Cricetulus griseus: one gene and its partner. The protein of the gene in region 2 purifies or fractionates together with the protein of the main gene of each other region. This does not show direct contact. Links are inferred from orthologs where the notes say so. Each region holds a gene or a part of one and is shown on either strand. Other genes may lie near its edges.

What was found.
Region 1: the proteins of Mcmbp (region 2) and Mcm3 purify together in Homo sapiens (affinity purification with mass spectrometry; 10 studies listed by BioGRID and IntAct, counting the BioPlex papers as one, with this or other methods). This does not show direct contact. The link is inferred for Cricetulus griseus from reciprocal best matches to the Homo sapiens genes MCMBP and MCM3.

What each region holds. Positions count from the first base shown.
Region 1 is NW_023276807.1:25,169,881-25,176,008, reverse strand, and holds part of Mcm3 (DNA replication licensing factor MCM3), read right to left. Parts: intron 5,240-6,128; coding exon 5,127-5,239; intron 4,785-5,126; coding exon 4,576-4,784; intron 4,131-4,575; coding exon 4,000-4,130; intron 1,826-3,999; coding exon 1,587-1,825; intron 1,164-1,586; coding exon 1,055-1,163; intron 605-1,054; coding exon 451-604; intron 144-450; coding exon 12-143; intron 1-11. UniProt on the Homo sapiens protein: Acts as a component of the MCM2-7 complex (MCM complex) which is the replicative helicase essential for 'once per cell cycle' DNA replication initiation and elongation in eukaryotic cells.
Region 2 is NC_048596.1:72,003,933-72,010,546, forward strand, and holds the start of Mcmbp (mini-chromosome maintenance complex-binding protein), read left to right. Parts: upstream 1-2,160; 5' UTR 2,161-2,430; coding exon 2,431-2,488; intron 2,489-6,614. UniProt on the Homo sapiens protein: Associated component of the MCM complex that acts as a regulator of DNA replication.

The sequences.
Region 1 (6,128 bases), on a different chromosome or scaffold from region 2:
CACACCCTTACCTGTTTCCTGGTCTGTAGTGACAGCAGCCGTGAGACCCACTCCAGACGAGCCCCGGCCCGTGGTGGGAATGGCCCTGGGCGCGGTGCAAAGCACATACCGCAGAAGCTGGGACTTGGCGACAGAGGGGTCACCTACAGGACAAGGCAATGGTGAATCTCGAGGAAAAGTCACCGACACCCCAGCCAATCCTGCTTCTGCAGCGCACTTCTTGGCACAAGTCACACAGTAATTTGATGTTGTACTACTACTTTCCCTTTTCCCATTCTCAGAATACAGTCCAGGTATAAATCAAGAATTTCAGGGGTATTTTTAAAAACATCCATTTTAGCCTTCTGCACTTAGATGGAGTTGAAATATGATCAGCTATAGAAGGTACAACTCTATATACACATGTTCTCACAACCCACTCAAGGGAAGAGCCATCCCCCAGCACCATACCTATGAGGAGAATATTGATGTCTCCACGGATGTGGCTGCCGTTTTCAAGCTCTCGTTCCACCCCTCCCAGGAGCAAACAGAGGATTGCCTTCTTCACGTAGTCATGCCCATGAATGCTAGGGGCCAATGAGCGGGCCAACTGGTCAAAGACATCCTAAAGGAAGAACCAACAGAGAAAAAGAATAGTGAGATCCAGTGGGGTTTCTGGAGCCCACAGAAAACATATACTTTTTATTTAAAAATAAAAATAAAAACCCAGGTGTAGTGTATACAGGAGGATCTGGAGTTCAGGGACACCCTGGGCTACATGAGACTGTCTCCACAGGAGAACTGGGCCAGTTATAAACAAGACTTGATAGTACACTGATATTAACTCCTGCATTTTTATTTTTATTAGGTTCACCTGAGCAGCCCAGCAGACAGAACAAGTGTTACCAATCAAACAGCAAAAATAGCCTTAACCTGCCAGTTGGAACAAAACTGGATGCTAACAACAAATACTTCATGAAAAAAAAAAAAAATCCCAACTTCCTCCAGATGCAGCACAAAGATGGCCACACACAGGGCACAACACAGGATCAAAGCCATCCCACTCTTAACTGACCTTGGAACGTGTTTTGCTGAACTTCTTGATCTTGGCTATGTCGTCAGCAGAGAATGCAGGCTGCAGATCCTTGCTCATCTGCTTCACATTACAGGCAATCAGGACGGTCCTGCAACACGGGAAGAGGAAGTCTGCTGACGCCCCAGCCCCACCAAGTGTTCTTGGTCTATTAAACTCAACCAGAACATGGGAGAAGGGGAGGTTTCTGAACCTAGCCGAGCTCTCGGTCCATGAGCCACAGTGAGGATGGAATGCCCAACAAACAAGTGTGCATGCAAAGGAGGTGGCTGGGACTCCTCGCCTAGGCTGGCCATGAGGCTGTATTTGTGTCACTAGTGACTCCCACGTTGGCCTAGACAGCCGACATTCCGAGTGCCACATGAGAAGATGTAGTACAAGGGTCATGTCACCTTACTGGCAGGAAGTACACATCATGCACCAGTTAGTGCTTGCATATGGCAACCTGGAGCAAAGCACCACTAGGACAGAAACTGCTACCAGTGCTCCCCACATTCCAAAGCAGCCCCTTTACCTGAAGGTCCCTGAGGTGTAGCCGCCCTTCTTCCCTGGAAGACAGCGGTAGGTTCCCACCACCTGTATTCTGTCACCGGGTTTCACTTTATCCACCAGATCATCGTCTAGAATGACGTCCACAGAGCGAGGAAGCTGGCCAGCGGGGGCCTTCTCCGGCATCTCCTGGATGGTAATGGTCTGGTGGTCCTTGTAGACAGACAGGCCATACTCTGTCTCCAGGGGGTTGTTCTCCTCATCCTAAAAGAAGGACAGAAAAAGTCCTTGCAGTCTTGTCTCAAAAATGTAGCACTCATCTAATGTGGAAAACATCTTTCAGAGATTTTGAACCTTTAATATCTAGAATCACAATAAAAGTGTATGCATCTCTTACAGCTTTCCTAGCCTGACTCCTGAATTAGTAACAAACTGACCATTGGAAGGGCCAGTTTTCACTGATGGGATCATGACTACACTAACACCCACATTAAAATCCTGACTTCCTGTACTGATGCTAAATCTGGAATTATAATTTAATGCAGTTTTTCTTTTTCTTTTTTTTCTTTTTTCGAGACAAGGTTCCCTGTGTAATCCTGGCTGTCCTGGACCCCACTCTGGCCTGGAACTCAGAGATCCACCTGCCTCTGGCTCCTGAGTGCTGCAATTAAAGGTGTGTACCACCATGCCCAACTCTGAAGCAGTTTTTCCACTTCCCACAAGAAACACCCCACAGACACATGCACCCAAAGCTTAGTACCTGTTCTAGCAGCACCATTCCTACCACAGACAAAGTTTAAAGACCATAGGTAAGTACATGTGGCACAGTCACACAAATGAAAACTGTGTGTTGAGACGCACACTTGTGAGCACACACAATGTTACCCAAAAGCTGCTCAACACAAGAGCACGTACATAGTAAAACAGGCAAAAACAGTGGTGCACGACCTGTGGATTGTGAGCCCTTTGGTGGTCAAACAACCCTTTCACAGGGGTCACCTAAAACCATCATTTACATTACAATTCATAGCAGTAGCGAAATTACAGTTATGCAGTAGCAATGAAATAATTTTATGGTTGGGGGTCACAACATGAGGAACTGTATTAAAGGGTTATAGCATTAGGAAGGCTGAGAACCCTTGGGCAAAAATATTTCCTACTATTAAAGATACCAGGGTTGCCAGGCATGGTGGTGCACACCTTTAATCACAGCATTCCAAAGGCAGAGGCAGATGGATCTCTGTGAGTTCAGGGCCAGCCTGGTCTACACAGTAAGTTCCAGGAAAGCCAGGGCTTTGCTGACACAAGGATAGCACAGCCTTCAATAGGGACTTCTATGCTGGTAAGTTTGTTTCTCACTTTAGATGCTGGTTATAGGAATACATGCTGCTTGTAAAAACTCATTTATATATGTGAAAACTATATATACAATATAGTTTATTAATATATTTTACAATTATATCTTTATATTGCATTATAATATATATTAAGCATCCATAAAAAACATTAAGGTATGCTTCCATTATATGTGAATTTCCTAAAACCACAAGAGTCATTACGTGCTTACTGAGTGCTCACTATGTGCCAGGGACTGTGCTCCAATCTTATGTAATTATCATCACTTTATAAGAGCGAATGCTTTCTGCTTCCCAGACAAGGACAATTTCCAAGGGGTATCCTCTGACTAAATGAGTATAGACATCAGCAATCAATGTTTATGACCTCCTGTCTCACTAAGAAAGTTATCTTCAACTGTTCTCACCCTGAACACTATCAAGAAAGCCTTTTACTGGCTTTTCCCAAATGCACTGAAACAGCTGCAAAGATTACACAATATCATCACCTAATAGAGGCATTTGCCATTTTACTTTTAGAAAGCACGTTACATAACTATGATTACAACTCTGTTAAAATACCTGTCATCCAATGTTTCTCCTTTTTGGCCTTCTATAGCTCAACTTTTCTAAATTTCATTCTCTGTGTGTGGTGCACACACCTGTGTAGATGCACACACTCATGCATATGGAGATGAGGTATGACATCAGGTATCTTCGTTCCAGCTAGGCTAGTCAGTCAGCAAGTGAGATTTTAGGATCCACCTATCTCTCTTCTCCAAAGACAGCTGGGTTAGCAGGCATACAAAGGTACACCAACCCTTTACTTGGGTACTAGAGATCTGAACCTAGGTCCTCTTGCTTGCAGAATAAGTATTCCTACCCAGTAAGCCAACTTTTTACACCATAACTTTAGTACAAAAAAAAAAGGGGGGGCCCATATTCAACTTTATCTCGTACCCCATCTCTCTCTTCAGAATTAATCCTTATCTCATATTATCTACTTTTAGAACAAAGACACCAGATTAATATACAACTACTAGAATTAAAACAGTCTTCTTTAATTCGAGCTGCCAAGGAAGCCCAACCGATTCAGGTCCTCACCTTCGTGGGATAAACAGAACTTGACGGGAAAGCCACCAGGGTAGTGAGATCAGAGTAGCGCCGCTCTATGGTCTTTTTCGTAGCGGGGCAGTAGTGAACACTTCGAACAACTTTGGGACGAACTAGAGAACCTAGGAATGCAAAGGTGTACTGTATATAAAGTCACCCAATGACACAATGACAAAGGAGGGACTTAAATACTGTATTTCCCCAATTAGGTTACCTATTTCAGCAATATTTGTCATTTATCCCTCTTACATTTACACATAGGGTATCAGTGAATCCATGTAAAATCTGAAGTACCACTGATGTCAATTAAGGGAAAGTTTTGGGTTGCAATAATATTGGAAGAGCAGGACTCTTCCAGCTTCAGAAATACATCATCCTGCTACAGCTGGTGGTCACTTCCAGTTCCCCCTAATTGCTGTCCCCTAATTTTACTATTTTAATTTCAGTGCTTCACTTCTCTGAAATGACATGTTCCCCAGACCCACTACAATTCTTCCAGTTTCAAGACCTCCTAAATCTCTATCCTCTAACTCCTTAGGATCCTGGCACCACCTTTAACCCACTCACATTTAGTAACAATGCCTTCCACACAGACCACACAGCTGAGAAAGCAAGACGTGAGAGTCCGGGGAGAAACGTGCTTTGAGCCGAAGCTGCCCTCCAGTCCTATGTAGAACTCCTCATACTGTTTGGCATAGGTAGCATCAATGGAGGCCACAAAGTCCTTCAAGGCCCGCTGGAAGGCAACCAGCTCCTCAAAAGCATTGTTCAGGAGGCTGCGTAAGATCAAGACAAAGAACCATTAGGCAGAGTTCAGGAAACTGACCCTCAAATCAAGAAGAAACAGTCTTACGCCATTAAGATCAGTGAAAGAAGATCCCATTTCTACTTTGTCCTGCCACTGTGTAAGACACAGTAAATACATCAGAATCGAAGGTCACTTCAATTCAAAGATGTAAGAGTGATACTCAGAAGAACACTGGAAGATTGGAGCACTTGAGATGGTGACAGCCATGCAATCCAGATCTTTCCCAGGGAAGCCTGTTCCAGTCTAAACAAGGTGATGCCTTTCTCACCCCAAGGCAGAGTGTTCCCCGCAAAACCCTGTCATCACTCACCGGTTAGCCCTCTTTTCATTCTTCCTGCGCAGGTCATTCACACTGACAATCAGCCGGTACTGGTTGTCACTGATCAGCTCCCGAACTTTGTTCTGGTAAATTCCCTGGTCTTCCTGAAGAGCAATCATGACATATAAAAAAGAGCTACACAACTCAAAATGTTTCAGAACAGCTGAATTCACAATCTGTGCTACCAACGTCTGCCTTTCATTCACTAGTCTCAGATTTCACCTACAACCTATTAGGAGCCTGTAAGAATCATAAGGTCAATATGGACCTAGGACACCCAGGGTCCCTTTCTGCAGGCTCTTAGTTTTATTTACAGCAAGCTTGGATTTCCAAAGCTGCCAGGAAGGAGCCACAAAGAGGAAAAGTTTCATTTAGAACTCAGGCTGGGCACGGGAGGTAAACTATAATCCCAGCACTCAGGCATCTGTGGCAGAAGGATCACCACTAAGTTCAAAGCTAGGCTACAGAGGAGACCTTTTCAAGAGAACCTATAATAACTGGTAGAAGGGGTGATCTTCAGTGAGAGTAAGACTGGCCTCAATCTAAGGGACAGCCAGCTCAGGACTCAGGGTAGCTGGAAAGAGAGATAAGTCAGAATGCAGGCAGGCTCAGCAATGGGGCCTGCAGCTGTGTCAAGGACTTGGGGTACTTAAGGACTATCACATGAGCTCATTTCTGAGTTCTGATCCTATGGTGCCACATACTTCTTTCTGATTTTCGGCTGTAGGATGGTCTTCTAGGTTATAAAGGTTTCTGGACAAGGAAAATGCACCTGCTATTGTTTGAAAAACACGGCCCCCAAAGGGAGTGGCACCATTAGGAGGTGTGGCCTTGTTGGAGGAAGTGTGTCACTGGAGGGGTAGACTATGAGGTCTCTCTTCTCAAGCTTCACACAGTATGACAGTCAGTCAACTTCCTGTTGCCTACAAGATGTAGCACACTCAGTTCCTGCACCACACCTGCCTGCACGCTGCCATGCTCCCCTTCACGACG
Region 2 (6,614 bases):
TAGCTATTGGCCATTCAGGTGCCTTTTATTAAACCAATCAGGTGCCTTAGGCAGGCAGCCTGACATGTTAAACAAATGCAGCATAAACAAATGCAACACATCTTTACATAGTTAAATATTCCACAACACTTCAAAGCCTGCCCCCATAACACACATCTCCTCCAACAAGATGACACCTCTTAATCATTCCTAAATAGTTCCACCAACTGGAGACTGAATGTTCAAACATATGAGCCTATGGGGAATTCTCAAAGAATAACACTGACTTTGCCTTGTTAGTTTTCTCAACTCACAAATGCCAGATGTAAAAGCATATTGAGATGCCAAGTCCAAATTACCTCTTCCATCCTGTAGCAAACTAGAGTTGAAGGCAACTGAGCAGAATCATATATAAGAAAAACTCCTGCCCTCCCACTGTTTGCATAAAAACAGGATACAGGTTTTTCAAGGTATCCTCCCTCCCCTTTCTACCAAATAATACAGAAGCTAATCATCTGGAAGAATTTTAGATCTTTATCAGCCCAGACGTGGAAAGATTTTATACACTACTAGACTATGTCTACCATGAGTCTCTCATATTTTGATTTCCTGTAACTTGTCTTTGGAAACTGAAAACTTCTGTCATTACAATAGAAGTTTATTGTTCTCTATGGATCACTGCTACATAACCCCACACTATAAACCATTTTAAGTTATTTGTCCCTGGTTGTTCATAAACTTGTGGCACACATGTTCACAAACTTTTTTTTTATGAGACAGGGCCATATGTAGCTCAGGCTGGCCTCAAACTGGGTATGTAGCCAAGGCTGGCTGTGAACTCCTGACCTTCCTTACCTTTATCTCCCAAGTGCTGGGAAACAATTCTTGGCAGCTTTCCCTGATCAGTGAGTGGGTAGACCAAGAAAAGCAGGGGGCAGGTTTTGTTCCCTTTCCCCACTTCCCTAAGGAAGTCTCTGGACTCAGTCTAGCTGTCTCTATTTCTCTGTTATCATCTCCCCCTCTTTTAACCCTTGCTAGGGATTAAACCCAGGGTCTCTTGCATATCAGGATGTCAGGCTGCCAGGTGAGCGCACTACCACTGAGCAGTTCTTATTCTTCACCTATCTAGTTTCTTTTTTTTTTTTTTTTTAAGATTTTATTTACTTATTATGTATACAACATTCTGCTTCCGTGTATATCTGCACACCAGGAGAGGGCACCAAATCCCATAACGGATGGTTGTGAGCCACCATGTGGTTGCCGGGAATTGAACTCAGGACCTCTGGAAGAGCAGTCAGTGCTCTTAACCTCTGAGCCATCTCTCCACGCCCCACCTATCTAGTTTCTAGAGTACCTTCAGATTACTGGTTTTTTGTTTTGTTTTGTTTTGTTTTTTGTTTTTTTTTTGTCAAGTAGGTACAGATGACGAAACCCGAATTTTCTGGTACTTCCCATACAGTGGGTAAATGGTTTCTTTATGAAAACTTCAACAATTCCTAAATCCCCTAGGCTAAAGGTTGCTGTGGAGTTGCCCTTCTGGATCTGCCCTCTAAGAGTATCCTGAGCTCTATGGTGAGTGAGTATCTTGCCACAGAAACTCCCTAGTTGCCAGGCAGAAACGCACCTGAGTGTTTTCCAGGTCAGAAACTAAAGACTGGGCAAGAACAGAGTTCTGAGCGCTTGCTTCTCCCGAGGAACCAGTTCCTCTGCAATTCTGAGATACCCACAAAGGCTGCAATGCCTCTTTGATAATTAACTCGTTCAGGAAGAACTCATTGAGCTGGGGACAAGTTCTTACATGGGATTGTGGGCAGGGAACCATAAAAAAGTTCTAGTGCCAAAATCAGAAGGAAAAAAGTCACAAAGAGATAAGATCCGGGGATACCAAATGGAGTTTTACTCCTTAAAAGTCTCTGAGGCCTGAGCCTTTTGGTCCTTGCGCCAGGACGCAGACTTTGAGCCGATGAGGCAGCCTGATGGAGCTTCCCATCAAGGCGGTCACAAGGTGACTCCTACACACAGCACAGTCTCTTTCCTCTGCCCATCTCCAAGATGGCGACCTCGCGACTGCCGCCCCCCCCGCCCCCGTCTCTACCCGCCTCCAAAATGGCCGCCGCGCCCCGCCCACCCGCTCCCCTCCGGGACTGCGCAGCACGCTCCCGTCGCCCCTCCCTCTCGAGCTCCACCCAGGTCGCTGGCAGCGCGGTCGGTGGCCGCGATTTCCCGCCATTGTGAGAAGCGGAGGTTGGGACCGTCAAGCCGCCCCTGTCGCTGGCCAGCAGCAGCTCTGAGGCGCTCGTCACCGCCGCAGCCTCTCCTGGCGGCCCGCGACTCGCGACGCCCCGCGCGTGGGAGGGCGCGAACGAGCCCCCGAGGAGCAGCCGGCTTCCGAGCGCGCTCGGCCCACGGAGCAGCGCCGCACCGGCCGCGCTGGCCCCGGCTTTCAGCGCCATGCCCTGTGGAGAAGACTGGCTGAGCCACCCGCTCGGGATCGTGCAAGGCTTCTTCGGTGAGCGGCGCGCGGCGAGCAGGGCCGGGAGGGGAGCCGAGTTCGCGTGGCCGGGCCTGTCGCGCGGCCGCACTCGCAGAGATGACCGCCGAGGGCTCGCGTGGCCCCGGGCCTGGCAGCCGAGCCGGAACAGCCCCTTTCGGGTCGCAGCCGCAGGTGCCGCCACCTGCCCTCTGCCCGGCTCCGGCGCGCAGGCGGCGGGGACGCAGCTGCGAGTGCTGGCTGTGATTGACGGCCTGGCTCCTGGCTGGTGGCCTACCTAGCCCGGGCGCTGCAGACACGGGGAGGTCCCCTTGCCCACCGAGGGCCCTGAGAGCGGCGGCGGCGGGAAGCCTGCCTGTGGGAGCCTGCAGGAGATTTCAAAACTTCCGGTGTGTGGGGGGTGGGGTGGGGTCCATCGCACAGAAGTTCGCTCTGCGGGCGTTTCCACACGACCCCCTTGAGATGGGTGGCAATGCCATATTTTTCTCCTCTGTTGACTTCAGAAACCGCCTGCTTTGTTACCTGCTCCCGTGCCGGGGCTAGCGAGAAATAGCTGTTTACATGAGTTTCTATAGAGCACGAGCCGATAGTGCTGTAGGCAAGCTAAGTAAAATTTTAGTTGTCATCGTCATCGTTCCTTTTTTTAGTTAACTAGACCTTCCTATTCCCACTCTCATCTCTGATTTCTTTGAGCCTAGTGACAACGGAGTCGGACTTTATTAGAAACCACTGATAGATCCGCTGCACCTGACTTGCATGGAATTAAAGGGTTGTGGAATTCTCTCAGCTCGAATAAAACAGGGGACAGAAGGGTATTTCATTGGAGAGTCCATAGTTAGCATGTGCAAGGCCCTGGGTTCCCTCCCTAACACACACACACACACACACACACACACACACACACGTACATACGTACGTACGTACATACGTACGTACGTTAGGGAAGAGTTAGTAAGAAGCTGGAGTCCTCAGCAGCCCATAACCGACGTTGTGAAATATATTCTTTTGTTCTGGCGGGGACTCATTGTATAGCCCAGGCTAGTTGTGTCAGTTCAGTCTCCTACGTGCTGGGGGTCACAGGTGTGAGCCACCATTCTCCGTGGAATGTGTAGTAGGGCCTTAATGCTTCCATAGCAACTATTCATTTTGCCTAGAATTCTAATTATGTTGTTTCCCAGGGTGAAACTAAAGCCAGCAGATAGAAGTACTGTAGTCAGTGAACACAAAATCTGATGAAGAAGGGGAGGGGATGGATGCTCATGCCCACAAAATAATAAAACATGGGCTTGGGATATAGCTCAGTAGTAGAATGCCTGCCTGACCTGCTGACTGGTTTGGGTACAGTGCAGGTGGAATGAAACAGATTCATATGCAGTAATTTAGGGTGGTTTTCAAAGGGAATAGGCAGCTTTCCTATGATTCTGTCACTTGGAAGGCTGAAGCATAATTGCTAGTTTCAGACTAGCCTATACCGTGAGAGCCTGTCTCTAAAGGGGTGTGTATGTGCTCTGTTCCTTCACTAAATACTAGTAATTGAAGCTTAAAACAGTGGACCCAACAATTGGTGTTGAATAATAATGACTCCCAAATGTCAAGTGAAGATTCAATTCCACATTGGCTGAAGGTGCAAATGCATAGGTACATTTTAGGAAAAATCCTTCCATTGTTAAAGGTTTGGGACTTTAAAGGGTTAAATTCCCATGACTGATATTAGAATTTTTTTCTCATTTCTTTGAGATGGGATCTTTAGGCCAGGCTGGCCTGGGGCTCATGGAAGTCCTCCTGCCTCAGCCTATGGATTGCTGGGATCACAGGCATGTGCCACCTTGCACAGCCAGAATATCCATTTATGAGAACTATCTCAGTACCCTGGACTTGCTGTAGTAATAAAGTGGTTTTAAATATGATAAGATTGGATGGTGTTTGGTTTGTGTTTGATTGTCTTTTTGGTGCTGGGGATTGAACCCAGAATAGGCATGTGCTCTACCACTGAAGCTGTAGCCTCTGCCCCAGGGAATTGTTTTAATTCTTGGGTTTTCTCTTCAGATAGAAAGATAATTGGTGTCTGTTTTTTTGTTCTGTTTTTTCTTAAGTGGGGACTCTTTAAGAAAGGAAATCTGAAGGGCCTCTGTCTTGTTTAGGGTGACCAGTTTGGTTTATTATGGTTGTCTACTCTTTATTTTGGCTGTGTTGGGATTGAACCTAGGGCCTCAAGTGTGCTGGGTAAGTACTCTACCAGTGAGCCATACCCCTATTTTCTTTGCATGGAGTTAGTTTGTTACAGTACTAGATATTACTGAGTCGAATCCAGTCCTTAGCTTTTTGAGCTAGTGTCTCCCTTGTAGCCTAGGGTTCTGAGCTTGTCATTCTCCTGTCCCCAATTTCTGGGATTACAGCTGTGGGTTATTATACCCTGCTCTATAGTTTCTTCTTCTTCTTTTTTTTTTTTTTTTTTTTTTCGAGACAGGGTTTCCCTGTGGTTTTGGAGGCTGTCCTGGAACTAGCTCTTGTAGACCAGGCTGGTCTCGAACTCAGAGATCTGCCTGCCTCTGCCTCCCGAGTGCTGGGATTAAAGGCGTGCGCCACCACCGCCTGGCACTCTATAGTTTCTTAAAACTGGAAAATGTGATGTTGTTCATATTGTCCTGAAATATGTATCTCTTAATATGTCTTGAACATCTTCCTATCTTAGGGAATTTATTTTACCATTCTGAATGTCCCTGTTGTATATTGTTCCACAAGTTTATTATCCCGTCTCATATTTTAAGATAGGTGACTAATCTAGAACTGTGTTGCCTGATACAGCAGCCGCTTACTTGAATTAGTTAAAATTACACAGAATTAAAGGTTAAGTTCCTTGTTGTTACTACATTTCAAATGCTCATTAGCTACATGTGGGCAGAGACTGTAAGAGGCAGCAGAGTTGTAGAATATTAAAAGCCTTATTTTTACGCGTGTGTGTGTGTGTGTGTGTGTGTGTGTGTGTGTGTGTGTGGAGTGTGGGTATGTGCATGTGAGTAGAGTTGCCCTTAGAAGTCAGAGGTGTTGTGTTGGGACCCCCCACACACACACACACACAAAACAAACTGGAGTTACAGGCTGTTGTGAGCCTCCCATGGGTGTTGGGAACCAAACTCGGGGAGCAGTTCTCCATCTTAACTACAGAACTACCTCCCTAGCCCCACGCCTGTGCTTTTAGGTGGGATCTTGCTGTGAGGTACAGGATAGCCTTGAACTCACTATGTAGCTCAGGCTGACCACAGGCTTAATCTTCTGCCTCATCACCTAAATGCTGGTATTACAGGCATGTGCCTCCACACCCAGTTTCTGTCAGTATATTGTATCAGCTTGAGTTATTAAATATTTCTTGTGCCACCACACCCAACTTCTTTCAGTGTATTCTATCAGCTTTAGATTTATTAAATATCTCTTCACCCTGTCCAGAAGTCTTCATCTTCAACACTGATGTCCTAGCCCAGGATCTGTGGTCAGTTTTTGGGTGTCTGTGACAGCCTCCTTTCTTGTTTCTAGTATAGCTTCTCTCCTGCACTTTCTGTGCTGGAACCAGTAGCTTTCAGTTGCTTCTAGACTCCCTCCTCCCCCAGTTTTAGTTTCATTAGGTAGTCCTAGGCTGCCCTTGAATTCTCCATCCTTCTACCTCAGCCTCTGGAGTGCAGAGATTACAAGCATACTCCACTGCATCCAACTCCTGTTGACCTTAGTATACTGTGACCTTAATATCTGATCTAGTCATTTTTTCTTTCTCTGGCACTTATTATCTAACCCAGACAGGTCTTGAACCTTCCAATTTCTGGGATTACAGGCATGTACCATCACTTCTGGGTTTTATCTGTGTGTCTTCTGAGGTGTTTTACATCTACTTGTGTGTTTCTCTTTGAGTATATATGTATAGGTGCCCTGGAATGCCTGATGTTGCAGGCAGTTGCTAGGAATCATTTTTTTACTCTGGTTTTCCTCTTATTTTTCATTTGTTTTCTCGAGACTGTTTTGTGGAGCTCAGTTTAGCCTCCAGATCACTCTAACCAAAGATGTCTCTGGCTCTCAAGTACTGGGAGGCATGTGTCACCATGCCTGACCACTCTTTCCCCTGTGTTAGTAACTATTTATTTACTTTGAGACCAGA